Oryza sativa Japonica Group: one gene and its partner. The protein of the gene in region 2 binds, or shares a complex with, the protein of the main gene of each other region. Links are inferred from orthologs where the notes say so. Each region holds a gene or a part of one and is shown on either strand. Other genes may lie near its edges.

What was found.
Region 1: translocase of chloroplast 101, chloroplastic (region 2) and translocase of chloroplast 34, chloroplastic share a complex: the UniProt entries of both Arabidopsis thaliana proteins name them as parts of the TOC core complex. The link is inferred for Oryza sativa Japonica Group from reciprocal best matches to the Arabidopsis thaliana genes TOC159 and TOC34.

What each region holds. Positions count from the first base shown.
Region 1 is NC_089037.1:7,484,664-7,488,582, forward strand, and holds the start of translocase of chloroplast 34, chloroplastic, read right to left. Parts: upstream 2,387-3,919; 5' UTR 2,227-2,386; intron 2,122-2,226; 5' UTR 2,076-2,121; coding exon 1,974-2,075; intron 1,806-1,973; coding exon 1,698-1,805; intron 1,610-1,697; coding exon 1,485-1,609; intron 469-1,484; coding exon 204-468; intron 1-203. UniProt on the Arabidopsis thaliana protein: GTPase involved in protein precursor import into chloroplasts. Seems to recognize chloroplast-destined precursor proteins and regulate their presentation to the translocation channel through GTP hydrolysis.
Region 2 is NC_089039.1:2,992,838-2,996,715, forward strand, and holds the start of translocase of chloroplast 101, chloroplastic, read right to left. Parts: upstream 3,020-3,878; 5' UTR 2,893-3,019; coding exon 2,017-2,892; intron 1,927-2,016; coding exon 1-1,926. UniProt on the Arabidopsis thaliana protein: GTPase involved in protein precursor import into chloroplasts. Seems to recognize chloroplast-destined precursor proteins and regulate their presentation to the translocation channel through GTP hydrolysis. Required for chloroplast biogenesis.

The DNA of each region.
Region 1 (3,919 bases), on a different chromosome or scaffold from region 2:
TTCTATTATTCCAGATCAGCAAAGAAACAGCAACAACACAGGACAGAAAATGAATAATTGTTCTGAAAGAGCATGTCAAATAATACACATGAAGAAAAAATATTAGTTTAGACAGAGGAAGCTGCAGATAAATTGCAAAAAAAAAAAAAAAATCTTGATATGCCGATAATACCCATATAAAAGACAAGTGAGGTATACATTACCCCAAGTTCTCGTTTGCTGACTCCTGCACCAGCACGAATGTATCGCAAAAGTGACTCAGATCTTTTTGTAAAGAAATCGTTATAGTCAAGTCCATCAGGTGGTGAGAGCTGAGCATGTGTTAATACAACCAATGTTCTTCGCCAAATGGCCTTTCCAAATGAATTGGTGACAGCTCTAATAACTTGATCATCCAACGTGTCCATTCTGTATGCATCCAATCGATCCACATAAAGGAGGACATCAATAGTCTTGCCCAGAAGAAACCTGCGATACAGTAGATAACACATATGACTTGTATAGGAATAGAACTTTTGAAGACAGCATAATGAAAACTTCGCGAAGGTCAAATTTATGAGCAGCAACCTAAAGAAAAGTTGTGTTGATTCATAATAGTTATTGTTAATAATTAAGAGAATTTTCCTTTTGTCACTCCTTGCAACCTGATTCACTCTCTCTAACATTGTGAGTTGCACTTCTATTTTTCGCCTCCATTACTAGTCATCCATTTCCCTTTTGCATTGATGTGCAGTCAACAGTAGTTAACCAATCAACCATCAGGGTTTGCTCCTAGAGACTATTATACCCTTAGGTCCCCATCGTTTGGCTTATTTCCTAATAAGCCAAAACGGCTTATTAGGAAATAAAAATGAATTTGTGGGTAAAACTTTTATAAATGTGTTCTTTGTGACTTAAAAGCCAATGTTGAAAAAGAAACTACGTTGAAAATATCTCAAAATCAATCTCAAAATTAAGCTTGAAAATTCAAATTTTGGCTTTTTCTTTGGCTTATTAGGCCATCTGATGGGAGCCTTACAGAAACTGGAATATCCAGAAAATCATACAAATATTAAAAAAATAACAAAATTACAAAGCCAACAGGTTATCTTCAGAGTAATGTGAGTATAGTGCACAAAAAAACAGTTTAACATGAATATTGGATCAAGACTCTTCAGACAGCACCCTAGATTCTGTTTGTAAAATCAAGAATAATATAAAATCACCTCCTGTCTCGTTCTTACACCACAGGATGGCAAAGTGGAAACACAAACTAAAACAATGTTTCTGAGATGTGTCGCCCATAAATATGATGCCGATTTCAGTACATAAAAGCTCCTAATTCCAAGAAAATATACTACAGATCGATCCGCCCTTGACCCTAGGTCAAAATGGCAACCTTAGTATGGTTATAGTACCATCTCAAATCCTAAACAAGATGTTGTGGTACATGCAAGCAACTGTATTGATTAAAGACAAGTATCGCTATAACTCAAGATTGGTACCTTTTTATGATCTCAACAGCCTGCTCATTGATGTATCCACCTTCAATGAGCCCAGGAGTGTCAATAATGTTCAAGGTGAAGCCTGCCCTGGTGCGAGAACACATCATCGGCCTGAGACCCTCGGACTGTACAGGAAAACATTCATCAACACACCCATAAGTACGCAACTTCGGTTATGGGCTCAATAGAAATCAGACCTGGAAGAAGCATTACCTGGAAGGCGCTGACAGTAGCGACCCTCTCGCCAACGATGGAGTTGACGGTGGATGACTTCCCCACCCCGCCCTTCCCCATCACCAGAATTGTCAATGTGCTCACATTCTTCATCACAAACAAAGCAGTAAAACATACAATCACATCACAGACGGAGTAACAAAACACACAATTACCACCAGTTACTAACAACGTAAAACAAGAGCGGGATATATATAATCATCGCCAATCCATTAACCAGTCCATAAAAGAAGCGTTTGCATAGGCGTGTAATACCTCCTCCTTGAGCTTGCCGAGGAGCTCGTGCAGCTTGGTCTGGGTAGCCGCCGGAAACTGCTGCAGCCCCACCCACTCGCGGGGTATCGGCGCCGCCGACATATCCGCCCTCACCTTCCTTCCTTCCCTTCCCTTCCCTTCCCTTCCCCTAACACATGGACCAACCAATCAAATCAGAAACCCCGACCCAATTTGGACAGGGCGCAGGGCGGCGGCCGCGAGGACCACGTGGAGACTCGGACGGAATGCTTACCGGGAGATGCGGATGCCGGCGAGAGGCGGGCGGTTATGCCCTAGCGGCGGAGGAGCGGCGGAGGATTTGCGGCGAGGTCGAGGAGGAGGGGCTCGGTGTCGGGGGGGTTTTGGTGAAGGGAAGGGATAAGGAGAGGAGGAGATGAACTTTTCTTTTCTTCACTCTTCCTCTTTTTTTTCTCTTTTTTTTTTCTAGTTTTGTCTTTTGCTTTTTCTTGTGGGCTAAACGGGCTGGGCCTGCGGGCGCTTGTTCTTTTGGTTGGGTTCAGCTCTCTGAGACGACAAGTTAGAGCTGTTTATTTTGGAATTGTTGTTGAGTTGTTGATAAAAAGAGCTGTGGCCTTCTGTTCTACTCATGTAAATCTACTTTATCATACACCTTGAGTGCACATAAGTTTTTTTTATTAAAACCTTGAGTGCACATAAGTTTTTTTTTTGTATTAAAACATTGAATGCAGCAAGTAAAATTGGAAGAATTCCGGTAGCAACGCCTCACGGGAATATGGTTGGGATTTTCAACCTTGGACGTAATTACAAAATCCCAACCTTGATCTGTAATTACGTTATTATTACTCTAGTAGTCTTGGTGCAATACTGCAATTTACCTCTTTTTCTTCGGACGAATACCGGACTACAACTAGGCAAAAGGTTTTATTGACCTGCGGCCCAGTCTAACTAGACCGAGTCGAACGTCCATCTCCGTACAGCCCATCTCTCCATTAGGCCCATTCTGACTCAGATCCGAGACGCGGCCCAAACGGCCACCGGCGACCGCGTCGTGGGAGAATGGCGACGGGCGGTCTACTCGCGGTCGACCAGACTCCGCTCCGCGGTTCGGCTGGCTGGAGCGCGGGCGGCGCGGTGGGGAGAGCCGGGAGTGGATTCTAATCTCTTGAAGGGACATCCCTCGTACATAATTTTTTTTTTCAAATTTAATATAAATAGCTATGAAAATTTCTATAAAAAATTGGCAATGTAAAGTATAATGATACCTACTAGTCCACCAAAATTTATATTCAAATTTGATCTACACATCGAGAAAAAAAAAGGCAAATTTAAATATAAACAGTACGATATTATTCATATGCTGAATTTGTCTTTTTTATATGTCGACGTGTGAGTTGAGTTTGGACTTAAGATTTTATGGAGTTATATATATATATATATATATATATATATATATATATATATATATATATATATATATATATATATATATATATATATGAGACCCATATGGGACTCCATGGTGCCCGGGCCAAGGTATAAAACACACAAATTCTCTCAAATTTTTAAAAATTTTCAAATTGTGAGTATATACCTAGGTATATGAAATTGATTCATACAAATACCTAACAACAAAACAACTCAAACTCAACTTTATTTCACAATTCATTATTACATACCTAATGAATTATATGTTTGGATGTTATATATCTAGAACCAAAATCTAACAAAAAAAAAGTTTAAACTTAGTTCAAACTTGTTTGAACTTGTTAGTAAAGAAGTTAATGTTCATATCTAAACATTTACAAAAAAAAATTCATACTCATTCAAATTGGGTATATACTCAATTTGAATCTTGGAGCCCATACTCCATGTAGCACCAGTTAATTTACCTACATATATATATGTGTGTGTTGTATGAATGTTATCAAGTTTTTCATAACTGTTTAGATGGTTTTTGAGCAAAC
Region 2 (3,878 bases):
GATGTCAGAATCTCCTTCATTGCCACCCTGATCTGGTGAAAGCTTCGGGTGAGCTCTTGACTGCAACAGGGAGGAGAGCAGGAAGGGCAGAGGCGGAGAGCGGAAACGGAACCCAAAAAGCTTTCCAGGATTTGGATCCTGAAGTTTCAGAAGTGAGTTTGCTTCAGACAATATCTTTGAAGAGTAGCACAAAAGCAGCATCTGATGCCTCCAGCTCTGGCCATTTGGAAGTACTTTCTGACCCTCGCGGTTTCTCCTGCAAGAAGGATGGTTCTCAACAAGAGCTACTGGATTCATCAACCGCATATCTCCTGCAGCTTGCCTGATGGATTGCTGGATAATGTGAGACCTCTGAGCCATTAGCACCTCATATGTCATAGGGGCACCATTTAGACCTTCAGGAGGGGCGGAAGCAGCATGAGTGAGAGCAACAATGGCATTGAACCATATAGATGAGCCCAGAACAGAAGTAATGGTCTTTAGAAGAGGCAAATCATTGAGATCACGGCTCAGACTATCCAGGCGGTCCACATACAGAACAATATCTGGGGGGCATCTCTTGGTATATTTCTTGACAGAAGCGAGGATTTTTCTGTTGGATCCTTGGTCCATCACATTGGGTCGAAGGCCTGGAGTATCAATGATCCGTATCTGGACACCATCGACATTACCAACAATCTCCCGTACACTGTTGGTGGCTGAACTGAAAGCATCAGTTTTGGACTTCTCTTCACCAAAAATTGAATTTATAGTTGCACTTTTTCCGACCCCTATCTTCCCCAAAACAAGTATGTTGCATGAGAAGTTCAACTCCTCTTTTCCCTCCGCTTCAAGCAGCATGGCCTTCTTCCGTGCATTGTCAAGGCTGAAAGCTCGGTTTGTCTGCCTTCCGTGTCGAATACCCTCAGCAAGGCTCAGACGGTACAACACCTGTGCTGCAACTGTTTCTTCAGGAGTAGCCCCCAATCTATAGACAAGGCGCAGAAACTTTACTCGGATCAACTCAACCTTGTCATGCAGCTTCTTCTCTTCCTCCGTCATCTCCTCAGTAGGCTCAGCAGTCACTGCTAGCTCAGAGGGGCTGAATAGGTTTGACCGTGCAACTGGGCGTGGGACTGTTGGCCTGAGAGATGGGGCTGATGAGCCCAGGCCAGCTGGCCGATCCATGGAGAAGATTCTAGAGCCATCTTGGGAAGAAACTGTGACATTCCCGTCTGCAGATGCACCAGTTGCTGCTTTCAGCAGGGCAGCCAAGGCAGCAGAATCAAACCCCTTCTCATCGTCATCTTCATTATCGTCATCATCCCCATCCTCCTCAGAATCATCAAGGACAATCTGCCCATCCATGCTATTAGTGTACTCTCTCGAGCTGCTCAAGCCAGATACAGGACTAACACTAGCAGAACCTTCCCCAAGCTCCTTCATGATCTGCTTCGCAGCTTCTGAACTCTCTATAATAGCAACTCGTGCAGGCCCCCTGTCAGAGCTCACTCCATCTTCATCGTCATCAGCCTCGTTAGTACCATCATCTTCATCATCAGCTGCAGCTAAAACTATCTCTTCATCATCATCAGCGTCTTCTTCACGGTCAATAACCTCAGCAACACCTTCATCCTCCTGACCAACATTATTTTCCTTGGTTTCCTCTGGAGCCAATTCTCGAGACACAACAGAACTAGCACCGCCATCAACATTACTCTCATCCTCAGTAGGCTTCTCAACACCAACAATCTCCACAGATTCACTGGCCTCGCTTTCAACAGTTTGCTCCTTCTCAGTACTCTCTTCAACTGCACTTTCGGCACTCACATGCGCAATCATCTCGGAGCTAGTGTCGTCAACAGTTTGCTCCTTCTCAGTACTCTCTTCAACTGCACTTTCGGCACTCACAGGCGCAATCATCTCGGAGCTAGTGTCGTCAACAACCTGGATTCGGTCATACGAATAATTCAACATCCTTGTATGTATCAAAACTATTTAGAAACAAAAAAAACTACACTGAGCAAGATCAATTACCACTGGAATCACCCCGCTTACTGGCTCAGGCTTCGCCTCCATTTCTTCCTCCTCTCCCTTGTTATCCTCTAGCTTCTCCTCCACAGCCAATTCGACGGCGGCAGCCACGCCATTTGCCTCCGAAACCACAGCCTTCTCCAACAATTCTTCTGGAGCATTGCTCTCCTCCACCACCTCCACCGCCGCCGAAGCACTCGCTTCCTCCTCCGCCTTGTCGCCCAAATCTCCATTAGCTTCAGCTTCAGGAGCTACCTTATCCTCCGGCTGCGGCGCCTCCGCGGCCCCAGCAGAAACATCAACCTCTTTCTCCATTCCCAATTCACCATCATCCCCACCCCCAGTAGCCACCTCCTCCCCCTCGTTATCCTCCTCCGGCTTCTCCTCCACATCCGATTCGGCGGCGCCATTCGCCTCCGGAGCCAGAGCCGGAGCCTTCTCCTCCGGCTCCTCGCCCAATTCGCCCTTCTCCTCACCTACCGCGGCATCGGAGGAAGCCGGATAAGCATCCTCCTCACCCAATTCGCCGTTGCTCGCCTCCTCCTCCTCCTCCTCCTCCGCCGCCGCCGCCAACAACGAGGAGGCAGCTTTCGCATCTCCCCCGGCGAACTCCCCGCCGCCTCCCTCATCCTTAGCCTCCGCCACCTCCACCTCGCCGCCATCTTCCCCGTCTCCGGCCACCTCCACCTCCTGGCCACCGAACCCCCCACCTTTCCCCTCCAATCTCACCTCCTCCTCCTCGACTACCTTGGGTTGCTCCGCCGCCGCCGCCGCCGCAGGAGCAGAAGGGACCTCGTCGCCGTCAGGCGGCGGGGTGGGGGGCTTCTCCTCGAGCACGGGGGCGACCGGAGCGGCGTCGGCGTCGGTGGTGGAGGCCATGGCCGGGGCTGTTGCTCCGGCCACCACAAGCAAAGCGAAGGCGAAGCAAAGAAGAGAAGCAGGAGGAGGAGGAATCGGAGGAGAGGATAAGGTGAGGGTTTTAGGTTGGGCTCAAAATTAGTACTTTGTATCAAATCCCAAATTCCCAATCTATATATAGCTGGATGGGATGGGATGCTCTTCGATTTTTCTTTTCACCCTTTGCTTTTCCTACAAAAGAAAATGTTCTTCTTCTGAAGAAAATAAAATAGTTATATCTAATCTCACCAGTATATGCTCTTCGATTTTTTTCTCCTTTGCTAAAAGAATAAAAATATTTTTTTGTGTGTTCTTTATATATATATATATATATATATATATATATATATATATATATATATATAGCTGTCTGCTCTTCGATTTCTTACCCTCGACTTCTCCTCAAAATTGAAACAAAGTTTTTCTTTTGTTGTGAAGAAAAAGATTTGGTTTTCTTCTCCTCAAAATTGAAAAAGGTTTTTTTTTTATTGTGAAGACAAATATTTGGTTTTCTGTTTTGGCGTGCGGTTTTGGAACGGCGGACACGCCGGGGGTGTGGTGGTGAGACGAGAGAGGAAGCAAAGAAAAGGGGAAAAAAAATAGGGAGAGCGTGACGATAAGGTGAAATTTTTTTGATTTTTTTTTGCGTTTACGTTTACCTTTGTTTGTATGTTTGTGTGGTTCTTTGTTTCTTTTTTTTTTTGATTTCGTGCTAGGGTGGGGCTTTGGTTTGGTTTGTCTTGTAGTTGAAGGGAAGGAGTGTCAAAAATATCTTCTCTAGATTTTTTTTTTTGCCTGTTCCAACTTCCAACTGGTTTTCGATTTTGATGGTTTTGGTGTTGCCTAGAAGACTTTGCTTTTACTGATAATTGGAAGTTTGAAACACATTATCTCTTCTATAAATGATCGAAATGTGCACTTCTCTTTTTACTAATCTTGTGGTAGTGTTCATCTCTCTTTTGCTATCA